Linked DNA regions of Arabidopsis thaliana. The protein of the gene in region 2 interacts with the protein of the main gene of each other region in a pairwise test. Each region holds a gene or a part of one and is shown on either strand. Other genes may lie near its edges.

What was found. Proteins that work in one complex are often made in the same cells at the same time.
Region 1: the proteins of MBD1 (region 2) and HAT3.1 interact in a two-hybrid assay, tested with the Arabidopsis thaliana proteins (one large-scale study listed by BioGRID).

The regions. Positions count from the first base shown.
Region 1 is NC_003074.8:6,761,783-6,768,296, forward strand, and holds HAT3.1 (Homeodomain-like protein with RING/FYVE/PHD-type zinc finger domain-containing protein), read right to left. Parts: upstream 4,816-6,514; 5' UTR 4,747-4,815; intron 4,698-4,746; exon of another isoform or gene 4,508-4,697; intron 4,364-4,507; 5' UTR 4,268-4,363; coding exon 3,639-4,267; intron 3,518-3,638; coding exon 3,352-3,517; intron 3,245-3,351; coding exon 3,121-3,244; intron 3,030-3,120; coding exon 2,917-3,029; intron 2,834-2,916; coding exon 2,276-2,833; intron 2,192-2,275; coding exon 1,901-2,191; intron 1,805-1,900; coding exon 1,715-1,804; intron 1,624-1,714; coding exon 1,423-1,623; 3' UTR 979-1,422; downstream 1-978. Other genes in the region: AT3G19508 (complex 1 protein, LYR family protein), read right to left, coding at 596-649, 723-914; AT3G19515 (apoptosis inhibitor), read right to left, coding at 5,090-5,177, 5,270-5,391, 5,623-6,514. UniProt on the Arabidopsis thaliana protein: Binds only to large DNA fragments. Recognizes a DNA fragment carrying 8 copies of box7 motif of the light-induced cab-E promoter of Nicotiana plumbaginifolia. Also recognizes the box7m1 motif.
Region 2 is NC_003075.7:11,946,523-11,950,799, reverse strand, and holds MBD1 (methyl-CPG-binding domain 1), read left to right. Parts: upstream 1-1,995; 5' UTR 1,996-2,158; intron 2,159-2,280; 5' UTR 2,281-2,285; coding exon 2,286-2,405; intron 2,406-2,884; coding exon 2,885-3,379; 3' UTR 3,380-3,590; downstream 3,591-4,277. Other genes in the region: AT4G22750 (DHHC-type zinc finger protein), read left to right, coding at 188-401, 489-580, 686-815, 913-998, 1,103-1,165, 1,300-1,434. UniProt on the Arabidopsis thaliana protein: Probable transcriptional regulator.

The DNA of each region.
Region 1 (6,514 bases), on a different chromosome or scaffold from region 2:
TAAAATAAATCCATAAGAGGAAAGGTCAAAAAAAAATCATAAAGATTATTAAGTAGTCCAACTTTTCTCTCTAGCTTCTACTTTTAACTCCAGAAGCAAAAACAATCTCAAAAAGACTTTGGTTTTGGTTAGGTTGGTTTCATATAAGATTTTCGAGTTTTCGACAAGGACCTAAACTCTTAGCTACTGTTTATTGTCCCTTAGCTACATATATATCACTTTAATTACCCAAACAATCCCTAATCTTTCTCTCTCGTTATTACTTAACTGCCACTTCTACTTTGCTCTGATGAGTTTCTTTCATTACCAAAGATGAGATTAAGTAATGTGATGTTTTCGAATCTAAGAATGTAACAATTTTATTCAGGATCATGGAAACAAACAAGAAGCTAGCTACTCAAACAAGACAACGACCAATTCAGCAGTCAATCACAGAAAGTCAAGACAACTAAAAAGGAAAGACAAAGACACATGAACAACCCCTGTTCTTGATATAGCTATCAAAAGTAGAAAACTGATGGTACCCATTTAACAAATCGTCCAAACTTGTTCCAACACTCTCAGGGACATAACGTCGAACACTTGGTGTGCGTTATTATTCAAAACAAATCTCTTTCAACTTCGTCGCTGCTGATTCGTCAATTGAGTACTGCAAATGATTGAGAACAGACAGTTAACACAAAGGGTACCTAGATTTAAAAGAAACCCAGAATCTTTGTTACCTTCTTGAGTACCCAAAGTGAGTGATTATAGGCTCGCTGGAAGAGTTCGTCGAGGGATGTTTCGCTTTGATCGACTTCACGGTAATTAACGAAATTCTCCCTGGCGTACTTGGCGTAATACGGCCTTGAATCCGCCGGCAAAAGTCTCACCAGCCTCATAACGCCGCCGTATACTCTCAGCACCTTCTTCATTTTCGTTTACCTTCTGCAACACGTTACCCAATTCTAGGACTCTAATACTGTATCATAAACATCCATGGGCTCTTAATGGGCCTTTAATAATAAGCAATTACAGACCGGTTAAACGTTCACATTTGAGGGTTTAAAACCGGTTCAAACAAGACTTTTAAAGTTTAAATCTCTTGATCTCTTAAACCGGTCTCTATCGATTACAGAAACCATAACTCAAAACATCTCTCCAGATGGAAATAAACAAAAACTTTCATAATCATAACACAAAGCCTTAACTTCTTTAACTGTTAAAAATGAACCTATCATCCAATTTCGAAGAAAATCTTTCTTTCTTTCTTTTGCCTCAAATTTCAAGGTCTTCAAAGTACCCCAAAAATGTGAAACAAAGAACTGAACAAACCCGATGCTTTGCAGGGTTTGGTGTCTTCATATCTCGGGGTTTGGGTAAGTATGTGTTCCAGTATTGTCCTTGCATTAGATCTAAAACCTTCATGATTGAATCTAAAGTCTACTTTCTTCTTCTTTTCCGTGATCCAGTATTGGTTGGTTTCTCTGCAACTGACTCGGTTTCCATAGTTTGTTTGCTACTTCCAGCAACAGATGTCTCACATTCACCTTCCTTGCCTGTTTTTAACTTCTCGACATTTTCCTCTGAAACTAAAGGTTTGCTGTTTATCGACCAACGCCTATGCTTAAACCAGTTATTAACCTACAGAACATAATCAGTTCTTAGCAGAGATGAAACTAGGTCGACTAAAAGGGAGAACTAAACAAACAATTTACTAGGAGAAACTTCTTACTTGCTTAACTGTCATTTGTAGCTCTTTGGCTAAGCTCTCCTTCGTGGCTTTGTCTGGATATTGATTCTCTTGAAAAGATATGTACAGTCTCTGCATAAAAGAGGGATCCTTTCAATCCATTGCTCCCTCCCTCATAATAATGTAAGATTGGCACCTTAAAGCCTCAAGACAGCTATATCTTTTTACCTGAGTTTTGGGATCTGTCTGTTTACATGCTGAAGAGCTGCTTTTTTCAATTTCACCAGAACCACCATTTTCTCCAGGACCTTCTTGTGGCATTTCTAAGGTATCCTTTTTATCTGCCCTTTTCGACTTCCGTATAAGTTTCTTAGAAGTATGATCTTCTGCATTTGAAGACTGTTTCAGAGGTACAGTGTCCCCTTCATCTTCCGACTCGGAATCTTCTTTTCCCATTCTTGCAGTTTTATCCCAATCGTCATCATCACTTGACGAAGTCGGAACATTGTCATATTCCTCCTGCACATAGAAGAAAAATACCATTCAGAGGTTTTTCCAAAGCCAGATAGAAATCGATTATCAAGAAAAAGAGAGATCACTCACATCATACAACTTTTTGTAATCCAGCCTTTCAACATTCCTCCTTCTGGATACACCGGCAGGACCATCATCAAGCCCAACATCTGACTCTAAAATTGCATCACCTTGGAGCTGAGACGTCTGTCTGCCAGGATCCTCAAGTGGTGTATCTTCAGCTTGCTGATTAGTCTCATCTCCTTTGAAGGAAGTTTCAAGATCTTCAGTGTCTGATGTACAATCAGAATTTGAACTTTCTTTATCATCATCACAAGTCGGGGCATCAGGATCATAGTCATCATCCTCAGAATCATCAGATGGAAGGGCCATTACATCTTTCATTATATCTTTCCCTTCTTTAAATGACTCAATCATTTCGTCAGATGCAGATGTGAATTCAGTTTCATCAGAACTACCATCTTCGTTCTCAGATTCTTCATTGTCATCACTGCCATCTTCATCATTTTCATTATCATTCAAACAATCTGGATCATACTCTTCATCATCAGAATCATCTGAAGGAAGATCACAGTCAAGATTTTGACCTCCACCAACCAGCGCTGCTGCTGCCTCAGGAAATATTTTCTACACAAAAGTTCAAGGCAGGTGTGTTTTTAAGTGTTTTCTCCTCTTTAACAATAAAAACCTCAACATATATAGTTATATACCTCCCAACTGTCGCTGACCGAAAATTTTGTCCCTAAAGAATCATTAAGCAAGTCCAAGCTGTCATCTTTGCAATCACATCCGGGGCATAGCCAACCCTCATCATCCGGAGGAACTACAAAAATTAAAACCAACAAAAAAGACAGCTGTAGATACCAGCAAGAACTGCTTAAAACACTACCAAGTACGTAGGCAGAGAATATTACTATCTTCTTTCCGCAGAGGTGGTTCAAGACAGTATTGGTGAAAGCCTCGATCGCAAAACCCATCGCATAGTATGATATCATTATCAACAGACAAGTCCTTTGAACCACATTTTGCACAGAAGATCTGCGATTAAACAACTGCTCGTATTATCAATACTTCTAGAGACACAAACTGGTTCTATCAGGATAAACAAGGGAACAAAGGTTGAGTTCAGAACAATATTCTCTTACATCCTCGCTAGAAATCTCTCCATCAGTATCAAATAAAGACTCTGGAAGGCTTCCTTCAGCACAGAGTGTGTCAAGGTGCTGAAAAAGATCTCTAATTTTAAGCTTGCGCCGCAAAATTTCCTTTGTGGCTCGTTCAAGCTCTTTCTCTGGCCTTATCTTTTCCAGGCTACAAAGAACACATAATCAACAAGACTGAGTGAGATCAGAAATATATCTCACAGAGGATACCTATAACTCTCAAATAATGCATGAATAAGAGGGAAAACAAATGTCATCAAGAGACAAACCTTGAACCTTTCCAGCCTTCTAACGAATAGGCGTCAATTAGGCTTTGCTCATAGTTAATCCGGTTTAGAAAGTATCGAAGTTTCTTTTTGATTCTTGTGTACTCATCATCTTCTCTAACTTGTCCTTTGTTCATAGTCTTATTCTTTTTCTTTGGTCGACCTACAGGTGTGGAATTAGCAACAACCGAAGATGGTCCAGCATCTTCCTTAGATCTCTGAGCTCTCTTGTGACTTGCAAACAACACATTCCTTTCTCCACCTCCTCCTAACCTCTTCGAACTCGTAGATGCCCTGGACCGGTTGTGGATTTCAAATTGTCCACGGCAAGGAAGACCGATGACAAGCTCACGATGAGACCCTGAAAATTTGGTATTGGTATTAGAATCCTTCTTCACGGTTTGAGGGGTTGGTTTCTGTTCTTCATTCCCCTTTCCATGATCCATAATCTCATGATGCAAATGTCCATTTCCGTTTGCATCAGTTGGCATGTGACTCCCTGCCTCTGATGATTTGCCTTGTTCAGATACTCTGTCAACAGTTGGACTAATCTCTCCTCCATTATCTACATTTGTCTGCTTCAAACCAGATCCACTACTTCTAGTTACCCGCTTACTTACTGCTTTATACATTCTCTACAATCAACTAGCTATGTTTATACTGCTATCCTCGAAGATGATGCACTCAGGCGTTTCTAAATCAGCAAAGGTTTAAATACTTGTAGATTCCTATATAATCAAACAAAGAAGCAAAACACACGTATATCAGATCAGAATCAATATGAGCAAACACAAGAGAAAAACCCACAAAAGAAAAATGGGAGCTTGGTAAATATTTCTGCGATTGCTTCGTCTAGTTCCTAAGCTACTTACGTGCTTGACAGAGATCTTAAACAAGAACATCAGACAAAAAACACAGATCGACCCTTGATATGGTTTTCGATGAGCACAAGAGAAGAAAAAACGCGATAAAGTAATCTTAGCTATAACGAGGTTAGATTTGGGTATTGCTAAGCTGAGTATTGAATTTTCTAAATTTCTACGAGATAAGAAAACAACCCAGACACTAAATGTTAAGCTTTTTCGATCTCTCTATCCGCCAAAAATTTTACCTTTTTCCCTCGCCCGCGAAATGTCCCGCGAGAATTGAGAAGAAACTCGGTGGGTGAGTTGAGAAGAAGAAGAAAAAAAGAAGAGAGAGCCTTGCAAGGTCGCTCAGAAGACAAAGGGAACGGAGAAACGGCGTAATTTGGGCTTCATTATGCATTATATTCTTAATGGGTCTACTTATGAGGCCCATTTGCATATCAATGTCTTGGTATTGTTGTTTTGTTTCTCTCTTTTTCGTCCCGTGACATGTTAAGGAGCCTTAAAAAGCCAACAAAAACTTGTACCTGGCTAATAGACAAAAGAAATACTCTTGTTTTACTAAAATAGGCCATGAAAGTGATTCCCTCAAATCCCATGTGCACAACCTGATGACTCTGTACGGGCCTTCTTTGTACCCACATCATTACCGGCTTCATTTGCAGGCCGTTTTCCTCTGTCGTAGCAAAAAGGAAACATACAACCATGAATCACAAGTCACAAACATTCAAAAGACTCACATTCAACTTTGGATCCAAATCAGCTTACCTTTCAACAATTTCTACAGGTTCGTGCATTCTTTCTTGAGGACCTTTCTCTCCAAATTTACTCAAACTTGTCAAACCTTCCGTAACCATCTTGATTTCTTCTCCACTTACATTGCCCAAGCTCTGGAATCATTGAAAAAATGTCAGAAAACGGCTAAAATAAGAAGAACACGATAATGGAAAGAACAATATCACACAACCAAGAAACTATTGTGCAGAATCAGGTATTTATCCTGTTGGAAAATATGAAAAAAATTGGCCCTGAGTCCCGATTCCGTTCAAATTCATGTGCCACACCAAAATAGTTGGTTTGAGTAAAACAGGAGATATACACAGGTATTCACGTCTCTGTACCTTGTCAGAATCAGGCATGATGTGCTCGTTCAAGGAGTTATGAAACTTGCTAGCACCAAAGTCAGGATATTGCATCTCTTCGGACTTCTCTTTCGGGTTATGTTCTGGATTCCCTTTCTGGTTATCTTCTGGATTCTCCTCTTCGCTTTCAGTTTCTTTCTCTCTCTCTCTTTCTTTCTCTTTCTCATTCTCATCTATATCTATGATGATGAATTCAGAGAGAAGATGCATCGGCTTAGAAGTAGCCCGAACATGTTCTTTTTTTTTAGGACTGGCACCCACAACCATGTATGTTGTCGCTAGAGAAACCCTAACATATCCTTCGTCACAAACTTTAGTACCATTGCTCATCTTACAGATGGCCACCACTTCTCCTTTATAGATCTCAATACTGGATACTATCACTGCATGATATGAGCGGAAACCTCTGGAATTTGTTCCGGGACCATAATAAATCTCCTCTCCTACGGTCCACAATTCCTTAAAAACAACTAAGTCCGCTCCTATGGGAAAATGTGGAAGCAATAGCAACGCCTCCTCCATTGATTCAATTTTTCGAACACTCTTTAATTTTGTCGTGTGCATATGTGGGTCGTCAGCATTTGGAGGCTGCCAGTCCTTACAGTCAAACTTCTTGCAGATCTCTCTAGGAATGCCATGCTGTTTGATGTATAGTAGGCAATCCTCTATATCATTTCCATAACAGTAATGCCCTTTCTCAGGATTTTCATCATCTTCTTTCTCAGGATTTTCATCTTCTCCAAGATACTCTGGTCGACAAAAGGAGCAAAGATACCATGGACACAGAGGAATATACTCTACCTCCCAGTTGCGCATAATTCTAGTAGCACTGACTAAGTCAGAGGCTGCATAAGCCCAACAAATGAGGTGA
Region 2 (4,277 bases):
TTTTTTTTTTGGTTTGATTTGGTTGTAGTGTAGAGTGTCTTTGTTTCTTTTAGTTTTAAAGCTGTTGGTTTCTTGTGTGTTTTAATAGATTATCAACATTTGAACTCCCTCGCATTGTAGAACTCACAGAGGAAAGAGTAAGGAAGCAAAGGACTCATTTTTTTTATGATTGTTGTTTTGTTTGCAGCTTATAATGCTACTGTGGAGTTATTTCTCTGTTGTTGTGACGGACCCTGGTGGTGTTCCAACGGGTTGGAGGCCAGAATTAGACATAGAGAAAAGCGAGGGAAACCAAGCTTTGATTGGAGAAGCTTCGGTTGGAGATTCCTCGTCTCATGGTGTAAGATATTGTAGAAAGTGCAATCAATATAAACCGCCTCGTTCTCACCATTGTTCAGTCTGTAAGTCTCTTCAATGAGTGATTCTTTTCTTTGAATCCGGTATATGTGTTTTTTAGTAGTGAAAAAGTTGTCATATTGGGTTTTCAGGTGGAAGATGCATACTAAAGATGGACCATCACTGTGTTTGGGTGGTGAATTGTGTTGGTGCAAATAACTACAAATCATTTCTCCTATTCTTGGTATGTCAACTTATCATAGCATCGCTGAACGAAGTTGTTTTTGATATGTTCTGTTCATTAATGTTGCCATGATCATAATCCATTCCCAATATCTCAAAAATGCAGTTTTACACATTTCTTGAGACAACGGTGGTTGCAGTATCACTATTGCCAATTTTCCTCGTATTCTTCAGCGATGGAGATGGTGATATAACCGTATCACCAGGAAGCCTAGCAGCCAGCTTTGTTGCATTTGGTGAGTTCAAAGATATAGAAATCTCAGTTTCCGTTTTTGTTTCAGAACACCTTAACGTTACCATCTGATTCAAAAACTTCACTCTCTTGCTTTCCAGTATTGAACATAGCATTTGCCCTAAGTGTCCTAGGCTTCCTAATAATGCACATAATGTTGGTCGCTCGTAACACCACAACTATTGAGGTAAAGCAACAACTCTCACTTGGTTTTGCTCTTAACTTGGGTTCTCTCAGGAATCTCCATGTCAATAAACTCACTGACCAAACTAATGGTTTCTTTAATCTCAGGCGTATGAGAAGCATACAGTGAACTGGCCATACAACGTTGGTCGTAAGACAAACTTTGAACAGGTTCGCTCTCCATCTTCTTTGTTTCACTCGTTCTTCAGTGACTGATTCGTTTCCCCGCTACTTAGATAATATCTTTGACATCGAACACAATGAAAGCTTTAAAAAGTTTGGTCTCTATTCCTTTGTTGAATCAGGTTTTTGGAAGTGATAAAATGTATTGGTTCGTGCCATTGTACACGGAAGACGATAAGAAGAAGTTGCCAGCACTTGGAGGGTTAGACTTTACGAGCAGGTCGGAGTCCGAGACAGAGCCGCTTCAGTCTCTATGACCTTACAAACTTGAAATTTTTGGAAGTGTGTCTTCTGCTTTGTGTATGTATCAATCAAATATTATATCAAACATTGTCTTGTGTATTATAAAGATTAGTGCCTATTGTGGAATTTGTATCTTTTTATTTCGTGAAAAGAAATTTCTCAAACTTCTTAAATATACCATTTTCACATTTGCTTAAATATACCATTTTCATTTTTTCACTATTGATAATAATAACATGTTATTTATCATAAAAAATAAAAAAATCACGACACGTGAATGATGTACTGTAACTATCAAAGATTTGACGTACCACATACTTTCTGTATGTTTTTGATCGAATCAAAAATAATTATTTTTGTCCTTTTTTGTTTTATTGTTATTTTATAATGTAATACTTTTACTAAAATAATTTTTTTTAAAAACTAAATTTCTGGTCTATATAATTTTGGCCAAATATGTACATATTTAAAATCCAGAGTCAACCATTTAACAAACACTTGGAAATTTAATTAATTATTATGCCCTGTTTAGTAGAAAATCCATTAAAAATTACAGAAATGGTCTGCGTGTCGCATTGAACCAATCATATCTCGACATCTGTAAATACAGTTGGAGAAGATTTTTTCTTCTTCTGCTGGCCAAAAAAAAACATTGCATTAAAAAGGGTTCAAAGAAAAATTCTCAAATTCTCTAACAAAGAGCTCTGAGATTTTTGGAAATCTGAATCGTTGTTCGAGGTATGAACTTTTGGATCACTCTCCTTGAATCTGCTCTTTGATTCGATTTCGTACTTGAATTTCGCAATTTTGGAGTTTTCTCTCGCTTCGTTATACTGATCGTTTAGGGCTTGAAATTGAAGGTTTAATGTTACCATTTCCGGCAATGAACTTGAAGAAGTCTCGATCGGAAAACTCATCAGTTGCTTCATCTGGAAGTAAGATTGAGGAGCAGACTGAGAAATCAGCTGAACCAACAACCATTAAGGTAAACCTCACTAAACCTAAACCCGGTTTCAATTTTGCTTTGTGGTCTCTCTTTACCACACAGATCTTATCATTGAATTCTATCTCTTAATTAGGGTTTTAGTTGAGAATCTTAAGGTTTTTTTTCAACCAGTTTCGAAGACTTAGTTACTAGTGTTATTTGACGAACTGATGCAGACATAAAGGTTATAACTTTATTTCTCGTTGTGTCTTTGGCTGATCAGTTATGTATAAAATTTAATCAATATTTATGCTATTTAAGGTTTCGCAGTGACCCTTTTCTTCAAATTTGGTTTTTGATTCTGCATGTTCTCAGTATCACTCTTTTGGTGGTGTCCCTGTTTTGACTTTTGTGTTTCTCTACGCATGTTTTCTCATCTTGCTATATATTAAACGATTTGTAGTATGATTCTGTTGATCCAAGTAGCTTGTGAGTGACTGTTCTTCTTTTCACCGAGATTCCATATTTGTATTGTGCAGGTGCAGAAAAAAGCCGGTACTCCAGGGAGGTCGATAGATGTCTTTGCTGTGCAGTGTGAGAAGTGCATGAAGTGGAGGAAGATTGATACTCAAGATGAGTATGAAGATATCAGAAGTAGAGTACAAGAGGACCCGTTTTTTTGCAAGACGAAAGAAGGTGTGTCCTGTGAAGATGTTGGAGATCTAAACTATGATTCCTCCAGAACATGGGTCATCGACAAGCCTGGCTTGCCGAGGACACCAAGAGGGTTCAAAAGGAGCTTAATTCTGAGAAAGGATTACTCGAAAATGGATGCGTACTACATAACTCCTACTGGGAAGAAGCTCAAGTCTCGTAATGAAATCGCAGCCTTCATCGATGCCAATCAGGATTACAAGTATGCACTGCTTGGAGATTTCAATTTCACAGTCCCAAAGGTGATGGAAGAGACGGTTCCTAGTGGGATATTATCTGACAGGACCCCCAAGCCATCAAGGAAAGTTACAATTGATTGAGCTACATAGCGCTTCCCAGCTTCTTATGGTGTTGAAGTTGTTATTGGAGTCAGTTTTAGGTTTCTATCTGGTTTAGTCTTTTAAGGGTGTCGGACTTCTTACTGTAGAATGTTTCTTAAACTCATCTCTTTGACTCTGATTGGATCTTTATTTTCTAATGAAGGATTATCTTTTCTTCTCTTTTTGTTATGTCACAAGTCACAACTACATGAATCGCTCTGGTTTTCACTCAGTGTGTACAAACAAACACGACAAAGTATATTCAAGCAGCATGTGTACAACTTCTTCTACTCCAAGCGCACCCTCTGCTATAGCGTGCGGTGTGCAAGTCCTCGCTTATGGGCTATTTATCCCATTCAACATTGAGTATTGGTCATAACCTCTTGGGACTGAGAGCTTTATGAAAAGAAGCCTTAAACAATGATTGCATATTTGGGATTTTCAAAAAGAAGACTCACAACATAACTTTATGTATGTTTCCGCTCTTGGGTTTTCTGACCAGCCCTTGAAGCTAGTCCTTTCTCAAGGTTTTGTGTATGTTTCATTAGTTTTTGTTTGTATCTGGAGTCTACCGTTTATTAGAAGTTTAGGTTGCTCCTTCCACCGTCCTTACTCCTTGGTTTAGTTGAATAAGCAGTTTTCTCATGTGGTCTTACTTGGTATGTAAAGGCTAACCTTTTGTGGGCATGCAAAGTTCTAAATTTAGACTCTTTAGGATGAAGATTACATGGCTACAATTTTTGATTCTTATATGTGATTTTTTCTTCTTGTTATTCGTCGTATTTGGGGTCCTTTTTCGCGATTTACATTTGCCTCGAAGACTGCTTGTGAGCTTTTGTAGTTCTGCATCTACTGTTCTTTCCGCGCTTTCTGTTGACTGCGAGTGTGGTTTTCACAT